Linked DNA regions of Neodiprion lecontei. Each later gene encodes a partner of the first gene's protein in a complex. Links are inferred from orthologs where the notes say so. Each region holds a gene or a part of one and is shown on either strand. Other genes may lie near its edges.

Region 1 (3,796 bases):
TTCGGGGGTGGGACTGAAGTTGGTACCAGTTCTGGACCAGTATTAAAAATATCTGAAGTAAGGCCAAATTGCATATTTGGAGGTGGTTTCGAAAAATCAATGCCTGATAATTCTGTTCTCATATTTTCTGGCAGGGTAGCGAATGTTTGTTGAAAATTCACATGCTGTGTGGGTAATTCGGTATATAGTGGCATCGGTCCGATTACATCTGAACCACTACTATCCGATGATTCTGTGTCAGCATTGCTAATCACTTGCTTAGGCATGGTAATCTGTGATAACTCTGTAGAAGTCTCAGAATGCGGAATATGACTTTGTTGATTATCCGTGCCATCGAGTTGATCGGCCGTTTTCTTTGTGCCACATTCTTCGATAATAGCAGGACTTTCGGAGGTTTCCTCATTTTTACCAGATAAGCTATCATCGAGCGATGCTGAGCTTTCATCCTTGTCCTGATCGGTATTCTTGGATTCTAAATACCCGGAACTTCTAAAATTATTGTATAAGGGGGCAAATTCTTCATCTCTATCTTTTCTCCGCTTGTAGACCCATTCTTCTTGCGACATCTCATACCACTGTGTTCTTTTACCAAGCAGTTCGCCAAAAGCTTTTATCTTGTTCTCAATTTCGATAAGTGAATTTTCTTTCCTATATTCAATTATTTTCCTCTCATCAGATTCGACTTTCTCTTCAGTTTCTGCTTTAACTTCCATCTTGTCTGTATTCACCTCATCATTTTTCACGAGTTCCTCGTCCGTGGGCTCAGGGGGCAGTCCAGCCCTTATTCTCTGTCGTATTCTAGCCGCCTTTAGCCTGTTCTGTTCCATTTTGTCTTTCATTTCCTTTAGATTTTGCATTTCCTTTTGTTTTTGTATGGTTTCCTTTCTCAATGCATCCAAGTTTGCTTGCTGCTTCGCTCGCATTTCTTCATCCTGGGAAAATTCGTAGTATCCAACGCCGTGGGCTCTCGCTTCGTCAAAGAGAATGTCTTGATAATGAATATTCATTTTCTCAGTCAACTTTTCCGTTTGCTCCTCCCATTTTCTTCGCATTATTTCAATCTCTGGCTCTTTCGGAGGTGTGACAACATCTGGAGGCCTGACATCCTCAACTTCGGTATCTCCTTGGGACTTTTTCATGACTTCGTGCTTTACAAAGTCATCTTTTTTCTGCATTGTCGACAAATCTCTACGGAGGCATTTCCTTGTCCGTCCAAAGCAGTCTTCGTATTCAACCCAGTCTTCTTCCGGGTCAGAGTTTGCATCTTCATAATCATCCGAATCGAATTTCTCATCTTCTGACTGTGGTTTGTTACCAAAGTCGACCAGAAAATGTTCGTTTTTATTGCTGTGTGACCTTTTCAAATTTTCGTAAAGCCTAGCTTTTGCTTCGAGCATCAACTTCGACTTTTTGTGAGCTTTTATATCGTCGGTGTCAATTAGTTCTTTTTCAATTTTTACTTTTTTCGTCTTGGACTTTTTAGTCCTAACCTTGTGCTTAGACTGTATAGAAGTTACTTCCGCATTTGCTTTCGCGTCTTTAACTTCGGTTTGTTTCCTCAGAAGCTCAGCTTTCAAACCCACTAATGATGAATAATTCACGTTTATTTTCTTTGAATTATTCATGTTCAATTTTAAATCATTTGACGTTTATTACCATTTCACTGTTTACTGACGTTTATATACGTATATTGGCAGGAAGGGCAGGAAGATTCTGATTTGTCTAACCAAACCTAACCTAACTTAATTTAGCTTGCATACTTTTGATGCACTATATTATCGACTGCGTTCGAGATGGTAAATACGGTTTGAATACAGACACGTATGTATGTACGCGCTATCGAAAATTAGTTGTAAAAACCTCCGTCGGCTCAGAGGACGCTAGTACACAGCTCGAAAATTTTCTGACGTTTCCTTTTGATCCGGGTCCGGTGGTTTTGGCTGTGCCCTGTTTCCGTCGTTCCTTCCTTCCTAACCTAGCTGAGTACCGTCCTCCATCTGCCTATCTATCAAGCACGGTTTTTGTTAAATTGAGTGGTTGAAATTTGCAACGCTTCGTGCACAAGAGAGGTGATTTTTTAATTGAACAAAATGACAACGCGAGGGCAATCGAGGAGGATACCGGAGACGGAGTCCCGGATAGATTACGTTCAGACCGACGGTTTGGCAGTGATGAAAATGGTGAAACACTGTCATGAAGAATCCACGAGCAACATGGAAGTCGCTCAGGGTGCTCTGCTTGGTTTGGTTGTCAACAATCGGCTGGAGATCACCAACTGCTTTCCGTTTCCCAAGAACGATGAAACCATGGATGAAGAGGAATATCAACTTGCCATGATGCGCAGGCTGCGTAGAGTGAACGTCGACCACTTTCACGTTGGTTGGTACCAGAGCGCTGACGTTGGAAACTTTCTGAGCCATCCTCTGTTGGAATCGCAGTTTCACTATCAGACATCCATCGAAGAGTCAGTGGTGGTTATTTACGACACGGCCAAGTCTGCTAGGGGCTTTTTGACACTAAAGGCTTATCGCTTGACTCCACAAGCGATCCAAATGTACAAGGAAGGAGAATTTACGCCCGATGCGCTGCGCACGTTAAAAATTGGCTACGAATCTCTATTCGTCGAAGTGCCGATTGTCATAAAGAACAGCAATCTTACAAACATCATGATGTCTGAACTAGAGGAAATGATTCCCGAAGAAGAAGGAACCAAGTATCTTGACCTCGGTACCGCCACGGTCCTGGAAAACCAGCTGAGGTGCTTGATGGACAGAGTAGATGAGCTGAACCAAGAAGCTATTAAGTTCAACCGTCATCAGCATTTGGTTATTCGTCAGCAACAAGACAAGAATCGTTTGATGCAAAAGCGGGCACAGGAGAACGCAGCCAGGGCTGCTAAGGACGAGGCGCCTCTACCCGATGACGATATCAACAAGCTGCTCAGGCCGTTGCCTGTTCCCCCCAGGCTGAACCCCATGATCGTTGCTGGACAGATAAACACCTATAGTCAGCACATATCGCAGTTCTGTTCTCAAAGTTTGGCAAAGTTGTACATCACCCAGAGTCTACAGAATGCCAAGGAATCCAAGTCTACCAATTAATCTGTAGCTTATTGTGCAGAGACTCGTTGTATTCCAATTGAAAACAATAAAACTGTTTTCCTTTCAAACCATTGATTGGACTAATTACTAAACTAAATATTATTTCTTCTTTTTTCTTTATATTACAGTGTATTCAAATTATTCCAAACGGTTTTTCAATACTTATTCTTAAAATTTGTGCAATCTATGGTATCAATTTACAATATTGCCAGTGTTGATTTATTATTTGTATATTTGATAAGTAAATATGAAACGATAAATATTTTGACTGCAAGATCCTGGTCTTTGTTGCAATCGTTTGCCACGTCTGGGCTAGTTTGGGCCAGTATAAAATAGAATCCTCATAGCAGAATGGTGCAATTTTCTTCCCCGGAAGTCTTCCATCAACCGTTATTGGAATTAAATATATATATATATATATATGTATATATACATGCTCTTAATTTTCGCATGCAAAATCGGTACATAGTATATAGGCGCATAATGCAGCGTTACAATTCTGCTTGGCATCGGTAATTCCGCAGAACAGCTTCTAATTCCTTTGTTGGTAATGTCAGGTTACCGTATGCTTCACTTTCAAAGTTGCAGCCGTGCTTTCAACGAATGGCTCAATCTCGTAACGGGATTCTGCTTTGTCGACGGTGCGGCCGGTTGTTTGGTGGCGCCATCTGCCCCCTTCCAATGACCTCCGCGAT
Region 2 (4,918 bases), on another chromosome or scaffold:
AGATAAATAATTTGATTGCTCATCAGTTTTAATGTTATGGAAATAGTCATCAGTCGTAAATATTGTGCTCGTAAGACGTAAGAGATTTGCTCACTAAAAGGTCTTCAAAGATTTCAGGAACAATTTAGTTCAGATAAATCACGAATAATGCAAGAACTAATACATATTGTAAAATATAAGTCATTCAAGTTTCAATGAACAGAAAAATCCTAAATTGTTACTTACGCCAAAGCTGGTGGGATTGTAATGCGTCTTTTCCCGCCAGTCTTCATTCCTACAATACCGATATCCCATCCTTGAATGACTTCATTTTTCCCTAGACGGAACTTGAATCCATCTCCCTGACTGCATGAATCAAATTTTTTCCCATTTTTAAACCGTCCTACATAATAAACTGAAACAAATTTTCCAGCCTTTGCCGGAGGGCCAGACCCAAGTGTTAAATCCTCTATTTGTACACCACCTTCAATTACTCGTTTTTTTTGTTCCTGCTTTGAAGCTTGGACTTGCTGTTCAAGTTTGTTTTTCTTTTGTTGTTTAGCTTGCTGTTTCTGATCTTGTTTGACATCTTTGCCGTTCAGTAATTTCTGCTTTTCTTGCTTTTTATTCTGTTGTTTTTGTGCTGGTTGTTGTTGTTGTTGTTGTTGTTGCTGCTGCTGCTTTTGTTGTTTTTGTTTCTTTGTGGTTGATGAGGGTTTGACTACTTCCTCCTCTTCCTCCTCTTCATCCCCCTCGTCGTCATCATCATCATCATCATCATCTTCATCCTCCTCCTCTTCCGCGTCCAGTAGCGCACTTTGCAGTTCATCTGAATCACTCCCATCATCTTCTTCATCTAGTTCATCATCGTCATCACCTTCGTCAGAAGACTGTTGTTCTCCCTCCTCCTTCAGACGTTTCAAATGATTCTGAGATTGTTTAATGGAATCTGTGGCCTTGCGTTTACTTGGTTTACCAATGAGCTGTGGAATGTCCTCCTCTTCTTCTTCTTCTTCTAGTTCATCATCTAGGTCATCTTCTTCTGGTACTAGATATCCTGTCAAATGTACAAGACCGCTACCATTGGAACTAAAGGCTATTTCGGTTCCTTCTTGAAAATTGAGATCCAACGGAACCTGCAGCGCAGCTCCTTTGTTCAGTGTGCATAAAAGAAAAGTCCGATTCTCGTAATGAAGCATTACTTGAACAACCCCAGTATACGAGCCTTGAATAAGAACCGCATGATTATAATAATTTGAAAAATTCATATTGGATTCGGTATCGAAACGAAAAATAGAAGATTCCTACCTCCAGTATTTGTGTCCAAGCTCGCCATGGACACGTGAAACGACCGTTCTACGGTTTGCGTGTACCGTTTATTCGGCTCTATAATTAAGCCTGAAACAAACATTAACATACTTTTAGGTGGTTATATTTATTGGTCATTTTTTAATTCGGAATGACGTTAGACGAGGAATTTCATCCTCGCGTATGGAGCTCTTAGCCCGCACGCTGTGATAATCTTTATTGGAGATCACATGGCGACGCCATTCTTGAAATAACCGGCAACTCAGATCTGCTCAGATCAGGGGTAACACATGGCACTTGTTGGTACTTACCCCAAAACATATTGGCTATTTTGACCTACAATAAACGTTGCAATAAATTTAATGAATCAACAATCGTTTTCACTACTTCAATAATATATCACCGAAAATAAAAGAAACGCATGCACAGTTGATCAACGGTTTCCCGGTGCTCGGAGTTAGATCCTACTCGCGCCAAGATGTGATTGAACCGGCGGTAAAGGAACAGGCCATGAACGATTGAAGAGACTAGATAGGAATTGGTCATCATTTTTTTCATCTGGTACGATGAGTTCATGTTGATTCCTCGAGAGGCAGTACCAACGGTACCCTGATGAAATGAAAACCAAATCCAGTTTTTTCATCTGTAATGATCAACAAAACTTATTTTACAATATACAGAAATATTGACCATGCTGATGAAACATTTTTTTGGCAATTTTCGCATCACAACTTCAGTATTGTTTCAAATGAGGGCAGCTATTTTGCGGGCAAAACAACATTAATCACCGGACGTAAATGAGAACGAGAAAAGTGAGACACAACAGTTCACAACTGTAATTGACTAGAGGTAGCAGGATTCAGTGTTTGGGTTTACGATCTAACAGCGTTATTGTAATTATAGCCAACGTCTCTTGACCACTTTTGACCAACTTTGACGCACCAAAAATGGCGCTTAACCTCATTGTCAAGGTGCACCCAGTTGTTTTATTTCAAATAGTCGATGCCTACGAGCGACGTAATGCGGATACTCACCGTGTCATCGGAACCCTGCTTGGTAACAAAGAAACACAGAATAAACTTTCGACTACTCGTACGGTTTCTCAGAAATTGTGATAGCGGATAGACGAATGAACGTCGGACGTCACCTTCTACATGTCACATGTTTCCATATTATCAATCCTTTTAAACATTATAATTTATTAACGTCACGTCTACTGCAAATGTGAAATTTCAGCGAAATCTAAAAAGAATTGAATTCCCTAAAAATTTCTATACTTTTTCCTTGCAATTAGTACTCAAATTGTCATGTAAGTTCAGGTATTGTCTCGACAGAACGTATTTATCATGATTTTTCATAGGGACGGTGGAGAAGGGCATTGTTGAAGTAACAAATTGCTTCTGCGTACCTCACAAGGAATATGCAGATCAGGTCGAAGCCGAGCTGAACTACGCAATGGATCTGTACGACTTAAATCACCGAGTAAATGCCCAAGAAAGCATAGTGGGTTGGTGGGCTACTGGAAAAGAGGTACAGATGTCAAGAGTTGTGGTACTTTGCTTCCCATCTCAAATATATTTACAAGATGATAATAATATCCAAACAGTGAATGTGTTGGCTAATTTAATCAGACTTGAAAAGTATGCTCTTGATTTTAGCAACATATGTTTATTCATCAAGTTTTTTTCCTTGTGATCCAGGTTACCAATCACTCATCTGTCATCCATGAGTATTATGCCCGAGAATGCAATAATCCAGTTCATTTAACTCTGGACACAACAATGGCCAACACTACTAGAATGGGTATCAAGGCATACGTATGCGTCCAATTGGGTGTGCCAAATGGCAAGCAGGGTTGTATGTTTACACCTGTCAGAGTTCAGGTAAAAAAAAAATTTATGCAACTAGTAATTTAGCAATAATAGGTCAAGGTTTTATGAATTTTTACTTGTACTATGTTTCTGTGAAAAAACTAATTTTCATTATTCATCTCTTGGAGTCTATAATACTATATTGTGTTAGAAGTGAGTAATTGTGAAGTTTGCACCCCGAACAACAAAGGCGAGTGCTGCAGTTGCAGGAATACTAGTGCAAATGCAGCATGAGCCAAGGCGAGCACTGTAATAATATGATTAAGCAAATTTTTCCAATACCTGTAAAGGAAGTTCGATTTAAGAAGCACCAAATGAGCCACTCATAGCATATCAAATTGTGATTATAGAACATACGCTTAATGCAAGACACTGCATTGAGCAACGATTGAGTTGGTCGAAAGTACGCGTGTGCCCAAGAAATCCCTAGTATTTGCGCAAAAATAGTTTCATCACACTGTTCAAAATTGGGACACTTTACGTATGCCCCATAGGCTTCAAAAATTTAACCTGCCAAGTAGGTGTCGAAAAAATTCTTGTCTCACCTTTTTCAGGTACAGCTGCTGGTAGTTGCTCTGTTTGGAGTGGTAATAACTTGTACTTTTACTTACAACAGGTCACTTCTTATGAACCTGAGATCGTAGGGCTACAACTATGCGCTAAAACACAAACTTTACCTCCGGGTCAAGCACTTTCAAAGCAGGGGGGAGTAGAACCAATGTTAGACCTGGCACAAATAGCAGAAGCTAGCACTAAACTACTGACTTTGGTAGACCAAGTCCTCAATTACGTAGATGATGTTTTGGCAGGCAAACAAATTGCTGATAATCAGGTAACAAATTGACGTAGATAGCAGTAGGAATGAAAATAATTCAAAATGTACTGGGCAATATTTCACTTTCTATAACAAGAAATTTGGATGACCTTTGTACATGTTCGCAAGTACTGTACAATCAAGTATTGAAAATAAACAATTGAATAAAATAACATAAAATTACAGGTTGGGCGAGCCCTGTTAGATATGGTACATTCGGTACCTAAAATGTCAGCTGATCAGTTCGACCAAATGTTTAACAGCAATGTCAAGGACCTCCTCATGGTTGTTGCTCTTTCCCAGTTAATCAAAACTCAACTACAGCTGAACGAGAAGCTCACCCTTCTGACTACCTTATGAGCCAAAACTAAGCTCACCAAATAAACAGCACCAAGTAAAGCTAAGAGTAATGTATGGCTCCAATAAAAATCTGTAAAAACAAACTGATGTAACTAAATTGCTTAATCTAGTTTTTTATACATATATACATAACACATATATTTTACAAAACATCACAGTAGAAGATTCTTGAACGTTTGAAACTGTGCTTATTTCTACCATAGCTTCCAAACGTCGGAGGTCGTAGTTTGCAGAAAACCGTCTTGTGTTTTGTTTTATCACACAATGTTTTGTACAATTTGCTAATATTGAACCATAGTATATTTGTACGACCAAAATTACAAACTTTTCAAATCTTGCATATACGTTAAACCACATTATCACGCCTTGGAGCTTGTATTTTTTTTATATCTCTTTGTGACTGTATAGAACAAGGGCAATTTTAAAATCCTGGAAATATCGATATTGGTTATGGATTTAATCCAGTAAGTAAGTTTGTAAAAACACTTTCATATATCATCCACTAACTCTCTTTCAGAATTTCAGTATAACCTAATGTTGTCAGTAATTTGATTACTGTGAATTGTACCGTGCTTCTTCATTAGGC

Evidence for each region.
Region 2: eukaryotic translation initiation factor 3 subunit H (region 1) and eukaryotic translation initiation factor 3 subunit F share a complex: the UniProt entries of both Caenorhabditis elegans proteins name them as parts of the eukaryotic translation initiation factor 3 (eIF-3) complex. The link is inferred for Neodiprion lecontei from reciprocal best matches to the Caenorhabditis elegans genes eif-3.H and eif-3.F.

What each region holds. Positions count from the first base shown.
Region 1 is NC_060262.1:35,038,230-35,042,025, forward strand, and holds eukaryotic translation initiation factor 3 subunit H, read left to right. Parts: upstream 1-1,900; 5' UTR 1,901-2,090; coding exon 2,091-3,101; 3' UTR 3,102-3,172; downstream 3,173-3,796. Other genes in the region: coiled-coil domain-containing protein 174, read right to left, coding at 1-1,625. UniProt on the Caenorhabditis elegans protein: Component of the eukaryotic translation initiation factor 3 (eIF-3) complex, which is involved in protein synthesis of a specialized repertoire of mRNAs and, together with other initiation factors, stimulates binding of mRNA and methionyl-tRNAi to the 40S ribosome.
Region 2 is NC_060265.1:19,772,911-19,777,828, reverse strand, and holds eukaryotic translation initiation factor 3 subunit F, read left to right. Parts: upstream 1-2,182; 5' UTR 2,183-2,234; coding exon 2,235-2,343; intron 2,344-2,647; coding exon 2,648-2,817; intron 2,818-2,987; coding exon 2,988-3,170; intron 3,171-3,774; coding exon 3,775-3,990; intron 3,991-4,158; coding exon 4,159-4,332; 3' UTR 4,333-4,415; downstream 4,416-4,918. Other genes in the region: 46 kDa FK506-binding nuclear protein, read right to left, coding at 226-1,204, 1,288-1,377, 1,599-1,608. UniProt on the Caenorhabditis elegans protein: Component of the eukaryotic translation initiation factor 3 (eIF-3) complex, which is involved in protein synthesis of a specialized repertoire of mRNAs and, together with other initiation factors, stimulates binding of mRNA and methionyl-tRNAi to the 40S ribosome.